Oryzias latipes: one gene and its partners. The protein of the gene in region 2 purifies or fractionates together with the protein of the main gene of each other region. This does not show direct contact. Links are inferred from orthologs where the notes say so. Each region holds a gene or a part of one and is shown on either strand. Other genes may lie near its edges. The genes, in order: ncbp3, pnn and dual specificity protein kinase CLK2.

Evidence for each region.
Region 1: the proteins of pnn (region 2) and ncbp3 purify together in Homo sapiens (co-immunoprecipitation; 3 studies listed by BioGRID and IntAct, counting the BioPlex papers as one, with this or other methods). This does not show direct contact. The link is inferred for Oryzias latipes from reciprocal best matches to the Homo sapiens genes PNN and NCBP3.
Region 3: the proteins of pnn (region 2) and dual specificity protein kinase CLK2 purify together in Homo sapiens (affinity purification with mass spectrometry; 3 studies listed by BioGRID and IntAct, counting the BioPlex papers as one, with this or other methods). This does not show direct contact. The link is inferred for Oryzias latipes from reciprocal best matches to the Homo sapiens genes PNN and CLK2.

The regions. Positions count from the first base shown.
Region 1 is NC_019872.2:24,114,918-24,118,447, reverse strand, and holds the end of ncbp3 (nuclear cap-binding protein subunit 3), read right to left. Parts: intron 3,204-3,530; coding exon 3,094-3,203; intron 2,695-3,093; coding exon 2,388-2,694; intron 2,021-2,387; coding exon 1,872-2,020; intron 1,803-1,871; coding exon 1,626-1,802; intron 1,167-1,625; coding exon 877-1,166; 3' UTR 477-876; downstream 1-476. UniProt on the Homo sapiens protein: Associates with NCBP1/CBP80 to form an alternative cap-binding complex (CBC) which plays a key role in mRNA export. NCBP3 serves as adapter protein linking the capped RNAs (m7GpppG-capped RNA) to NCBP1/CBP80.
Region 2 is NC_019880.2:19,629,897-19,634,205, forward strand, and holds the start of pnn (pinin), read left to right. Parts: upstream 1-1,502; 5' UTR 1,503-1,536; coding exon 1,537-1,649; intron 1,650-2,068; coding exon 2,069-2,146; intron 2,147-3,271; coding exon 3,272-3,343; intron 3,344-4,188; coding exon 4,189-4,258; intron 4,259-4,309. UniProt on the Homo sapiens protein: Transcriptional activator binding to the E-box 1 core sequence of the E-cadherin promoter gene; the core-binding sequence is 5'CAGGTG-3'. Capable of reversing CTBP1-mediated transcription repression.
Region 3 is NC_019869.2:6,675,103-6,679,323, reverse strand, and holds the start of dual specificity protein kinase CLK2, read left to right. Parts: upstream 1-1,411; 5' UTR 1,412-1,567; intron 1,568-2,586; coding exon 2,587-2,774; intron 2,775-2,877; coding exon 2,878-3,151; intron 3,152-3,265; coding exon 3,266-3,277; intron 3,278-4,053; coding exon 4,054-4,144; intron 4,145-4,221. Other genes in the region: histone-lysine N-methyltransferase SETDB1-B, read left to right, coding at 166-267. UniProt on the Homo sapiens protein: Dual specificity kinase acting on both serine/threonine and tyrosine-containing substrates. Phosphorylates serine- and arginine-rich (SR) proteins of the spliceosomal complex.

The DNA of each region.
Region 1 (3,530 bases), on a different chromosome or scaffold from region 2:
AAAATGCAGCTACTTTGATGTGTTACAGTAAAATAAAATCAAACATACCAGAAGCTTTGAATGACTTCAATAAACCTCTTAAAAAATAACATTTACAACACAAAGGTGGGCTTCATAGAGACAATAGGCAGCATTTAGGCTTTTCCTGGTGCTCAGCCAGCAGATGTCTCCCTACTCGCTGTTTGTGGCAGCTATTACTTCAGTCAGTCTGAAGTTCTCCGAGTGCCGGTGTGGTTTTTCTTTCATCGACAGAGTGAGTCTGACCATCCAGGCCTGAATCAGGTGTTCTTGTGAGTACTTTTCATAGAAATACTGTACACTTCACTGGTCTATTTAGTAGCAAGTATTTCAATGATCTAAAGAAACTTCTGCACTGTAAGAGAATCAAAGCGGAGCGCGGCCTGAGAGCGTAAGGTGGAGTTGCCATCTGGGCTGAAACCTGGCAGGTTTTCCGTGCAGAGAAGAAACATCAGGAATAAAAAACATCAGCCATCTTTTTAATGAGGATTCATGAAGCTTGGAGTCTGTGGACCCACAACATTTCAGAAAAAAACAACCAACTCAGCACCAGGAGATCCAGTTCACACTTTTCTTCCGACACAGGAGGATCCTCTGCTTCAGGAAGAGAGCTGGAGGCGGAGTCTGTCTCCGTGGTAACAGGAATGCATGGCGATGATGTAGAGCAGGTGCAGGGTTAGAGTTTCCCGTCATGCTTTGCTCCATCAGACAACACCTTTGAGAAGTTCAGGAAACTGAAAAACATTTTCAAGGAGAGAGAATCCAGACGCGATGACAGAACCAGCAGGTCCGGTCCGCCGCCTGGGCCCGGCTGGAGCTCTGAAGTTCAGGAGAGTCTGGCCGAGTTCCTAGTCGTCCTCAGGCGTCAGAGTCGTCGCTGCTGTCACGGCTGATCTCGATCTGCAGCGACGGCAGGCTGTCCAGGCGGCTCTTCTTTCCCTTGTGGCCGAGGCGCTCCTGCTTCTGTTTGATCATGGCGCCCCACATCTTCTGCAGCATCGAGTCGTCCTCCTCCTCCTCCTTCTCCTCACCCTCTGCTTTCTTGCCTGCTCTCCCGCTGCCTTCTTTCCGACCTGAAGAGGAGGAGGACGGAGCCGAGTGGTCGCTCCCTCGCCGCTCAATGTTGCCGAGTCTGCTCCAGAGGTCGCCTGAGGAGGAAACGGCATTAAGAACGTGAGAACCTCCGTTCTGGATTGGAGAGTTCGGCAAGTCAGATCGGGACTGCTGTTGTGTTCCCTCCCAACATGGCGGTACACCTTTTGCCGTCTCTCTGATATTTTCAGTGCAATTTTGCCGTCTTTTTACATTTTTTTTACAGCGTACTGTTTTTTGTCATCTGATTGGCTGCAGACCACTGTCAATCAATCTCATCAGTGCCATGTCTCCTGTACAGAATGCGTTACAGAAATCTTTGTTTTCATTCTATAATACTTCATTTCTATGAAGGTTTGAACTTTGAGAGTTTAAAAAAGAGAGAAACAAAGTGTGAGAATGTTTAAGTCTGTCTGAGAAAAGTGTGTAGTGAGGAGATTTACTGCTTTGATCATCTGACATTCCACTTCAAGGATTTTCGGTTATTTTTAGACGGTAACTCGGTAACACTGTACCCGTCTTTCTGTCTTTGGAGCTGGAGAAGACGCCTCTGTCTTGACCGGCCACGCCAAGTCTGCTGTGCACATCTCTGACTGGCTCTTTGCTTGGGGGCGTGTCTCTGGGGGAGGCAGGGGAAGGGGTGCGGCGTCTGTCCGGAGAGTATCGCCTTTTCCCGAGCCGCTGCCGGACATCTGCGGGAGAGACGTAGAGTCAGAGGGGACGGAGTCCACACCCCGGCAGAAGCGGCGGCTGCCCCTCACCGGTCTTCCCGCCGCTGGCCACAGGGGGGGGCTGTCTGTGATGGGACAGCCCCTGCCGCTTCTCCAGCAGCAGCTGCCGGACGTCCGTTAACTTGGAGGGGGATGAGGATTTGGCTCTGCTCTGGGTCCCCGATGTCCCGATGCGGTTCCTGACAGAGGAAAACGTCAAAATAAAAGCTTTTCTGAACCCATCCTGACCCGGGCTTGATGCAGACGAGTCGGCAGTTTCTGAACACTCCCCCAACAATATAATTTAGAAACTCTGTAGGAAGTACCCTACAAGCTGAACCACAATGATGAAAACATTAACATTTATTCGATTAAGATTCCAATGAATTAAAATTTCTTAAATGTTAGTTTCTGAAAACCAATAATGATCCATGTCTCACTTCCTGACCCTCAAAAAAGATTTATGGAGTTTAAAGACAAAAGTTTACCATCTGAAGACTTGCTTTACACAATAAAAGCCCGTCCAACTGTGTCACATGACTACAGATGACGGTGGGCGGGGCTCACCGGATGCTCTTTAGGTGGCTCTCCACCTCGTCGGCGTACATGGTCATTTTTTTGCTTTTCTTTGGCGACGGCGTGGAGATCATCTTCAGCTCCAGGTCGTAGTCCATCTCATCCGACTCTGACCACGGAGACGGAGATCGCTCCGCACTGCTGCGAAGCCCCGCCCCTCCAGAACGTGAGCTGCCTCCTTTGTCCTTAAACTCCACCACCCTGTCATCAGAGTCCATGTCCTCGTCACTGGCGTCCTCCTCCTCTTCCTCCTCCTCCTCCTCTTTGATGGGCTCCTCAGGCAGGTTGACCAGGTCAGCTGAGAGGAGAGAGAGTACAGATTTTTAGCCCCGCCTTTATTTGGTTTGAGCCTTTATACCAACTTTATTTCAACTACCATAACCCTTTGACCTTTAACACCATAAAGGTGAAACAGGAGATTCTGAAGCTTCCTGGAATTAGGTTCATTGTGTAGACGATCAAAGAGTTATGGGATATGATGGAGCATGCGTTATTTAGGATTCACCGGTGACATTTCCTGTGTTAAAAGGTTAATTCAGTTATGAGAAAATTCTGCTTCTTTGTTGAAGGAAAGCCCTTTCAGATTGACTGAAAACTGAATGAATTTTAGATTAAAACCTGAAAACTGGAAACTCTAAAGACTATGCGTCAGTGAATGCAGCCTCATGGAGTTGGGCCGGATCCCCGGCGTTCTCACCGGAGTGCCGGTGCGTGTACGGCGGCGTGTGTCCCATGTTGTCTCCAATCAGAGGCTTCTTGCTTTTGATGACGTCTCTTTGGATGCGTCGGTTGTGGTACCTCCTCTTCCTGAATGGACAAAAATCAGAGTTTGGACGTCATGAAGCTCCACCGTCAGCAGGAAACGATACTCAAAGTCCCCTTCAATGAAAATCATGTTTTTTTTGTGTGTTTGACATGTCCTTGTGGCATTTTTCTTATGACAAATGTAATCATTTCATTTATGCATTTCAGAGTATTTCTCCTTTTAAACTGCTGTCAATCAAACTGTAACAAAGACGATCGGTTTGAATTAATGAGCTGCTGTGATGTCACAAGCTCCGTCCAGGGCGCACAAGGTCAAGTGAGAGACGAGGGAAGAAGGCACTTTGCTGCTTTGCCCGCCGCACGCATTTC
Region 2 (4,309 bases):
TGACCTCTAGTTTAGTTTTAACAAAAAGTTTAAGCAAATTTGACTATTGTTTTATTGTTTAAATACGGTAATTGTGAAGCAAAAAAATTTTTTTTCAAACTTTATTGAATGTAAAAATTCAATACAAAACAATGTTAAACAGTGAACAACAACGAAGGAACAAGCCAGGGGGTTTATACATTTTATGCATATATATTGAAACTAACACACAGATCTAATGTTTTGATGGCTTTCTTATTATCAGAGTTTCTTATTGTCTTAATGTATTGTTTGAACTCATTGATAAAGATTGAGAAATGAGGGGTATGATTCGTTACTTTTGATTTATGAATGTGCCATTTGCATAAAAACAACAAAATGTTAGTGAGGTACAACTGTTCTTTTTTATGAGATGGACAATGGGTGATGCCAAACATAATATTTTCTAAGTATAGGCGGAAGTCTGGGTCAATGTGGGCGGAAATGAAATGACAAACTTTAGACCAAAAAGTAGTGGAAAAGGGACATGACCAAAATAAATGTACAGCATTTTCAGGGTGTTCTTGACAAAAAGACAGGTAACATCAATATCTTCTTTGAACCTTTGCAGATATAGTTTGGTTGGATAGAATTTATGAATTACTTTGAATGAGATTTCTTTCACTTTATTGGTTAAAAAGTATTTTGCTGGTAACTTCCAAATCTTTTTCCATTCTAAATGATAAACTAAATTATTCCAAAAAGGAACTACATAAGGAATGGAGACAACATCCTTCTGGAAGAGTGAGCGTATACGGCGATTTGTGTTACGTGAAGAAGAAAAACAAATTTGACCTATTTCTATTTTAGTTGGATCAATTGGCAATAAAGTTGGATTTTGCAATGATGAACTTTTGAATAATGTAATAATACATTTAGGAATTGCTTTCAAAACAAAGTTAAATTCAGTTTTTGGTATTTTGATGGAGTATTTGAAGCAGAATTCTTCATGTGACATTAAAGCTACGTTTGAATTAAACAGCTGATGAACCAAAAGGATGTTTTGATTAAACCATGATGGATAAAATAAAGATTTATATCTATAAGTAATGTCTTTATTGTTCCATATGTAGTATCTGTGAGGAGAAAAATTGTGTTTGTAGATAAGTGACCAGGAAAGTAACATTTGTTTATGGAAGGAAGAAAGCTTAATTGGGATCTTTTGTACATTATAGTTACAGAATAAAAGAAAGTTTATGCCTCCTTATTTGGAGAAAATGTAATTTGGTATGAAATTCCAGATTGAAGTTGGATTCTTAATACAATGTCTTAGCCAATTTATTTTAAATGTATTGTTTAATGTACAAAAGTCTAGAAAGTTAAGACCAATTGTGAAGCAAATTGACCAATTTTTTTTTTTAATAAACCAGAAGGTGGCGGTAAAGAGCATGCTTGACCACACATCAACACATTTGACCGTGTGACACAAAGAAGACAGAAGGCGGGCGCATTGACAGATAGGCGGGAGTTAAAGGCGAAACCGAGCCGAGCACGTGACCAGTAATCACTAGCAACAAGATGGCGGTGGTTGTGCGGAGTTTGCAAGATCAGCTCGAAAAAGCCAAAGAAAGCTTGAAAAATGTGGACGATAATATTCGAAAACTTACGGGCCGAGATCCAAACGAGTCGAGGTAAAAATGTGTACAGACTGAAATGCGTTGGTGCTATTTAAGTTTTGTGCTGTTTTTTGTGCTAAAACTCACGAGACAAACGGCGTGTCTCGTGTTGTTAGCAGGAGGCGGCTAAGCGAATTGTCACATCCTAGCAACATTAATTAAACTCTGCAAACCCCTGCTACTCCAAATGCTTGTTTCATTATGAACGAACAGATTGTCTACCTTTGAATTCTAACGATGATGTATTTGCGTAAACATACACCGTTGTTTGTTGAAGTCTGTGTTAGGCCCAACTGCCAGCAGGCCTAGTAAGTCAGTTTAATACATTTTTAAACTATGCTTTTGCAAAAATAGTTGAAACCGCCTTTCTGTTTTAGCTCGTTATGCTTTTGTTTGGGACTGTTTTGTTTCTCACGTGGTTCATCCTTTTTCAGACCGGGCCAGTTCCGTCGGCTCAGCGGCCCAATGGCAGGCCTCAGCGGAGGTAGAGGCAGAGGAATCAACCTGCTCAGGTAAGGTGACGAGATTAACTTGGTGCACTTGCAGTAAATCAAATAAAAAAAAAATAAAGAAAGAACTTTTCCTTTCACCGGTCTTTGACTCAGATGCTCTAGGTATGAGATCGAAAGTGATAGGATAAGGAAATGCCACTTGATACTTAATAATCATGTCACACCCACCAGGCTTTCATTTGAATTATGGTAATGGACTACATAAAGGGCCTATACCACATTTGTCAAACTCAAGACCCGGGGGCCAAATGTGGCCCTCCATGTCATTTTATGTGGCCCGCGAGAGCATAAAAGTTTTTAATTTCTTAAAATAAAAAATAAAAATTGGTGTATTTATTCATATCTAGGGGGAATCTGCCTTGAAATATCGGATTGGGCACCTATACATTAGGACTTAAACACTGTAAATATAACCTAACCTGACAGAATCAAATTTAAAAGGATTTATGATAGATCAAGAAAACATATGTTTTCTATGCAACTGTAATTGTCACTTTAAAAAGTTATAATAAATGAGTTCTTTATCATTAAGTAGTAGTTACATTTATTTTTTCTTACATTTAGTTACATGTAAAAGTTATTTCTGGCCCTTTGAGGACAGCCACTATCCTGATGTGGCCCTTGGTGAAAATGAGTTGGACACCCCTGGCCTATACCACGCTATTCTTACGCCTTATCTAGTGTACATATACATGATGTATTCCCTTTGGGACACAAAAGAACATTTTATTTTAATTAAATATTAGTTATTTTTCTGAGCTTTTTTTTTCCAAACCGGAAGTAAGACGACTCAATCTCTAAGGCGTGGCCTTTTGCTCCGTGTGGGTGCCACCCATTGAATGTCGTCAACCCAGAGCCAGCCTCGGCAGTGTGTCTGCGTTTTGCTAAGGAAAACGAACAACCTCCAGCCTTTTGTAACGATGAATGTGCGTATAAAAGGAAAGCATTTTAGCCGATTACTGCTAGCTCTGCAGATAATTACTATCCGGTCGTACAAAACCGTACAGTTTTGGGCCAGATGCCAGCTCGGATGAGAAAAACAAAGGCTTACATAGATCTGGGTGTTATAAGGTCCCCCCCCCCCTAGGGAGAAGTTATTTTTTGATTGCCAATATGTTCTTTCAGGCGCAGTCTCTCGGACATGGGAACTGGCGGCCCCCCTGCCAAGCAAAGGGACATCGAAGGAGCCTTGCTGAGGTGACTTGTTTTTTTGTTTTGTTTTTTCCTGCTAGAAATAAGGATTTCTAGCTATTTCAGTAGGGACGTCCTGGTCATGTTTTCTTGTGCCCTATCTGGCCCACAGTCAATTGATTTCCAATATCTGCTGACCCCCCCCCCCCCCTATTTTTTCTTTTATTGGACTTTTATCATTTAATACTTAAACAGATACTTATACTTACACAGAGAAAATTTGAGTTAAGTTTTAGTGACTTGAGAACTATTGAACATTTTTGAACAGCCGTGATTCATATGCCCATTAAAATTTCACATTAATGATTTTCTTTAAAAAATTGCTGTTCTTGGCATAAATATGAGTATTCGCGAGTAGCTCAAACACTATACTACCAAGAGTATTCGCTCACCCATCCAAGTGATTAGAATCAGGTGTCCTAAACACTTGGACTGGCCACAGGTGTTTAAAATGTTGAAGTCATTGATCCCAGACGACTGACTCCGTACATCTTTCTAGCTTTGTGCACCTCTTACTCAAACTAGCACCGCAATAAATTGTTGCGATCTGTTCATAATATGCAGACTCCTAGTAGAGTATTTGTCTGTAATAGTGAGCTTGAAATGTAAAGTGCTGATCAAAATAAAAATAAATTAAATATTTGATACTTCTAGGAGACATTCGATTTTCCAATTTTTCAATTGAGTAATCAACCATGTGACCGGGCCGATTTCTAGTCAGGTGATTGGATCGGGAAATCGCTGTATTTCAGGGTTTTCTTTTGTTTTTTTCTTTTTCTTTCTTTTTTATAGAATCTAATAAAGCTGTTTGCACTGATTACCTCTTTGTTGTCATGGCTGTGCGAGTTTAGGCTGGCAGGAGACCAGAGGGCCAGGAGAGACATGCGCCACGACAGCGACGATGACGATGATGTCAAAAAGGTAAAATGATCTGGGTTCATTCAGTATCTCACTATGGGCCACACCCCTCTG
Region 3 (4,221 bases), on a different chromosome or scaffold from region 2:
GAATTATTTTTCCAATTATTAGCCTTTAAATTTTATTTTCATTCAGCAATATAGCATTCAAACCTGCATTTTCTTCTGGAAATGCAGATCTTTCTAGTTTCTAGTGTTATCTTTGTGTGGTTCCTTTTTTTTGTGAGCTTTTGTGGTTTGTGTGGTCTTTCCCAGAGTGACGGGCACACAGAGTGGATCTACAGAGGCTCCTTACGGCTGGAGCACATGCTGAAACTGAGGCGCTGGATGATGTCCAAAAATAAGAAGAAAACCTGATCGTGTTTATCAACATGTGTCTGAAGTTATTTCAGAAAAGAAGTTGCAGAAGGAGGACATTAATTGTCGAGGTGCGCTGTTATCGAGGAACTTCCTTGTGAACAGTTGAATGGATTTTATTTAGTGTCTCTAAAAGTAAAATCTACATCTGAAGCATCTGTGGACATTACGCTGCTTTACTTCACTTTTTGTTCACTTTGTATTACATTAATTATGGATTCATGCTTACTTTAATGTAGTTTTTAGTCTTAATAAAATGTCTATTTTTCTGCTTGTTCTTCTTTTAGCCTGAAATGTGATTATAAGCAAAACATCTGCTGTTTATGACTGAAAAAATAAATGAAAAAAATCAAAATAAATTCAAATAATCTGCAATTATTAATCTTATTCCAATTTATTGTTATAGTTTTGAAAATGTTAATGTACTGGTTAGCCTCTCATTAGTAAACCGTCCGTTCTTGTTACAATTATTTATAAAAATCCCTTTGATTCTGGTCTGTATTTGTGTTAAAGACGCAAAAGATGGTTTTCATTATTTTTAAACATTAAAAAATGTGAAGGTCTCAAACTTTTTAAATCCATTTTTGATTTCATTCAAACTAAATGTTTTTATTTATTTAAAACCACGTTTGTTTGGAAAACAGTTTACTTACAGATAAAACAAGAGCAAATGTGGAACTTTCATTAATTAAAATGAATTATTCTTACTTTAGATCTAAATAATTGCTGTGTTTTGGATGGAAATAACGATTTTCATTACATTTTAAACCTGGAAAACATGAGGACAAATTTATTTTGGGATTTTTAAATTACGTTAAATTTACTTTTATATTGATTGTTCATTTTGGGGAAGCAACAAGGAACAGCAGCCACAAATAAATACATTTTTTAAAATGTGGCCAGATGTGAAAGTTTAAACTACCTCAAAATCAAATGTATTTATGTAATGACCAGATTTAGATAATTTGTTGCCCAATCTTTTTCTTTAAGTTTCATTCTATTGCAAACTCGCTTCCATGGAAATAAAACAATATTAATCTCGATAAGTATGATTTAATCCCAGATTAGAAAGGACTACGGTTTCCTAAAATGTCATGGAAGTATTTTGGAAAGAGGAGACGTCCTCGCGCGCGGAGGCGGGGCCAGCGGCAGCAATTTGAAGCAGAAGCTGCGCTGCCTGCCGCGGGCCTCAGGCGGACGACACCAACCGAGCACCAGGCTAGCAAGAATTTTGCCGAGAAATATTATCGCCACCACGGATTTCTTATGGGATAAACGCACAGGCCTCGCTGCTAAAACGGTAAATAGTTTCTAGCTTTCTTTCGTGTCATTTATTTCCAAGTTTGACGGCAGTTTGTACATTAGCTTGCTGTTACGGAGCTGATAAATCCAGCTAAGCTAAGATGGCGGTCTAGTTATTTACATTAGCAAGATGCTAGCATGGAGTAGCTACCAACTAAACACCGATATCTTGAATTTATATAGAACGCGTTTTTTCTGGTGTCATTTATCACCAGGTTTGGGTGCGGTGGTTATTTTTTTGTCGATCTTAACGTTTTTAAGAGTAAACAAATCAAATCATGTTTCAGACGTTACTTGGAGGACTCGGATTTTTTCCCCCGTCAATTAAACGATCTGGTTTAGCAAAGGTTCAAACAAACTTGATAGAAATGCTGTTAAATATACGGGAACTCAGAGCGTCCTGCTCTTCATTATCACTGTATTATGATTTTTAGTGTTGATAGTTTTTAAATGAACTGTCTGTTATTAACGGAGGCGGTTCTGCTGCTCGGAGTTAGTGCAGATGGTTTAGTCTGGCTCCTCTGATGTTGCAGTGTTGCTCCTGTGGGATTGTAGTTCTGGCTCCTGCAATCCCGCAGGAGCTGGGGTTGCAGTCTGGATCTTCTGGGGTTGTTGCAGTGTTGCTCCTGCAATCCCCAGGATTGGCTCCTGGGGATTTCGGTCTTGCTCCTGAAGAAATGCAGTCTGGCTCCTGCGGGGTTAGTGTCTTGCTCCTGAAGAAATGCAGTCTGGCTCCTGCTTGGATTGCAGTCTTGCTCCTGCAGGTTTGCCGTGTGGCTCCTGCGGGGTCTCGTGACACATTTTTATGTTCTCAATCAATGCAGCTATCTCTGAGGAAGCCGTCCCAACCCAGTTACACTTGGATTAAAATATATGTTTGGGATTCCTCATAAATCTGATACCAAGATTATTCATCTTTTCATATAATTCAACATGTAAAATATAAGTCTTTGTCCAGTTTTGACTGATGATGGTTTTTCTGTGGATTTATCGGTTTTCTTTCTCTCACTCCTGCAGATGCCTTACACAAGACGGTATTCGTCTTCTGACAGAGACAGTCGGACCAGCTACCCGGACCGCTACCGAGACAGAGGAAGGAGACAAAGGTACAGAAGATCACCCACCTACTCATCCAGCAGTGACCGAGAGCGTGACCGAAGAGGGCGGGGACACAGACCCAACGGAAGCTATGGAAGAACCAGGAGGTTTGTCTCCAAGAGCTGCAGTTTTTGTTGGTTTTCCTCTCCAAATTTCAAAAGAATCTCCTTTTTTGATGCAAATCTTTGTGTTTTTACTTGTCTTGTACAGTCGCAGCTATGACAATCGCTCAATGGAGCATCGACCGTACGACCGAAGATACTGTGAAGGATACCGACGACTCGATCCCAGCCGAGATCAAGACCGGGACCGGGAGCCCCACGGCACAGCTGAGAGCTTTTATCCACGAGAATTCTCCCCCAACTTGTACGACTACCGACGCGGCCGTGAGAAAGAGCGGGAAAGGTCCTACCAGAGGAAAGGCAGCAGGCGTAAGCACAAACGAAGGCGGCGTAAAACCAGGTCCTATAGCCAATCCTCCTCGGTGAGTACGACCATGTCTGAGACGGTGCTTTAGCGCTTTCTTCATCTTCTCCTCTTCAACCTTTCTTCTCTTCCTTTAGTCTATCTCTTTCTCTAACCGTTCCTTTTTTTACAGCTTGTGGAATTGGTAAGTAGTATATTTTATGATTTGATTTTGTTCTGTTTTTTTTTTATTACACTTTTGCAGAAATTGGCATTCCGTTTTCAGGGCATTTTCATTTTTTGGCAATAACATCTTAGTCATTCCTTAGACCAAATTTTGGAGGTTTCTTATTCCTAAACATCTAATCAACTTTTATTTTGTAGTGGTAGTTGATTTCTAAGATTGCATAGAAAAGTGAAAATGTTCTTTCAAAAATCATAAGTAGCCTTTAACAAATTTGCCCTTTTAGTTGTTTTTTCTCTTTATTCTGTTAATTAAACCACACCTTTAAGGTAGTTTAACTTGAGGAACTCCTAGGTAAAAAAAAATGGATGTGGTTCATTTTTGGAAGTATTTCTGCTTGAGCTGGTCTCCTTCAGTAACTTTTTTCTTCCATCGTTCTTCCAGAATGTCAGTCTGAAAAGTTTTTTTTTTTGATAAATGCCTGTTTTTATTGGTTTGAGATGATGAATGGAAATGCCAGATGCTTCTTTGTTTGTGAGCAGTCATGGTTTGGAAGGTAGAGGGGGGAGAGGAGCAGAGGACGACAAATGATGTTTTACTTTCCTTGCACTATATCGTTATCTATTTCCTTCACGTGCTGTCATGCGTGAATCGCCCCATGACCACGAAATCCACCTACTACTACTACCACCACCCTCCTCCTCCCTCCTCATCCACCTGTGCCAACACTGAAACCCCCGCGTCCCCCCCCCCGGTCGTGTTGTGACCTGCTGATGGCGGTCTGGGTGAAAAAACAGAGGAGCAACAGCCGGACGCGGGCACTGAGTGTGAGGGACGACGAGGAAGGGCACCTGATCTGTCGGAGTGGGGACGTCCTGCAAGAGAGATGTACTCACTGCCACTACTCTATCGTAACCCTTCTCCATATGAGTATTACAGCATAGAGCATTTACATGACACAAGGA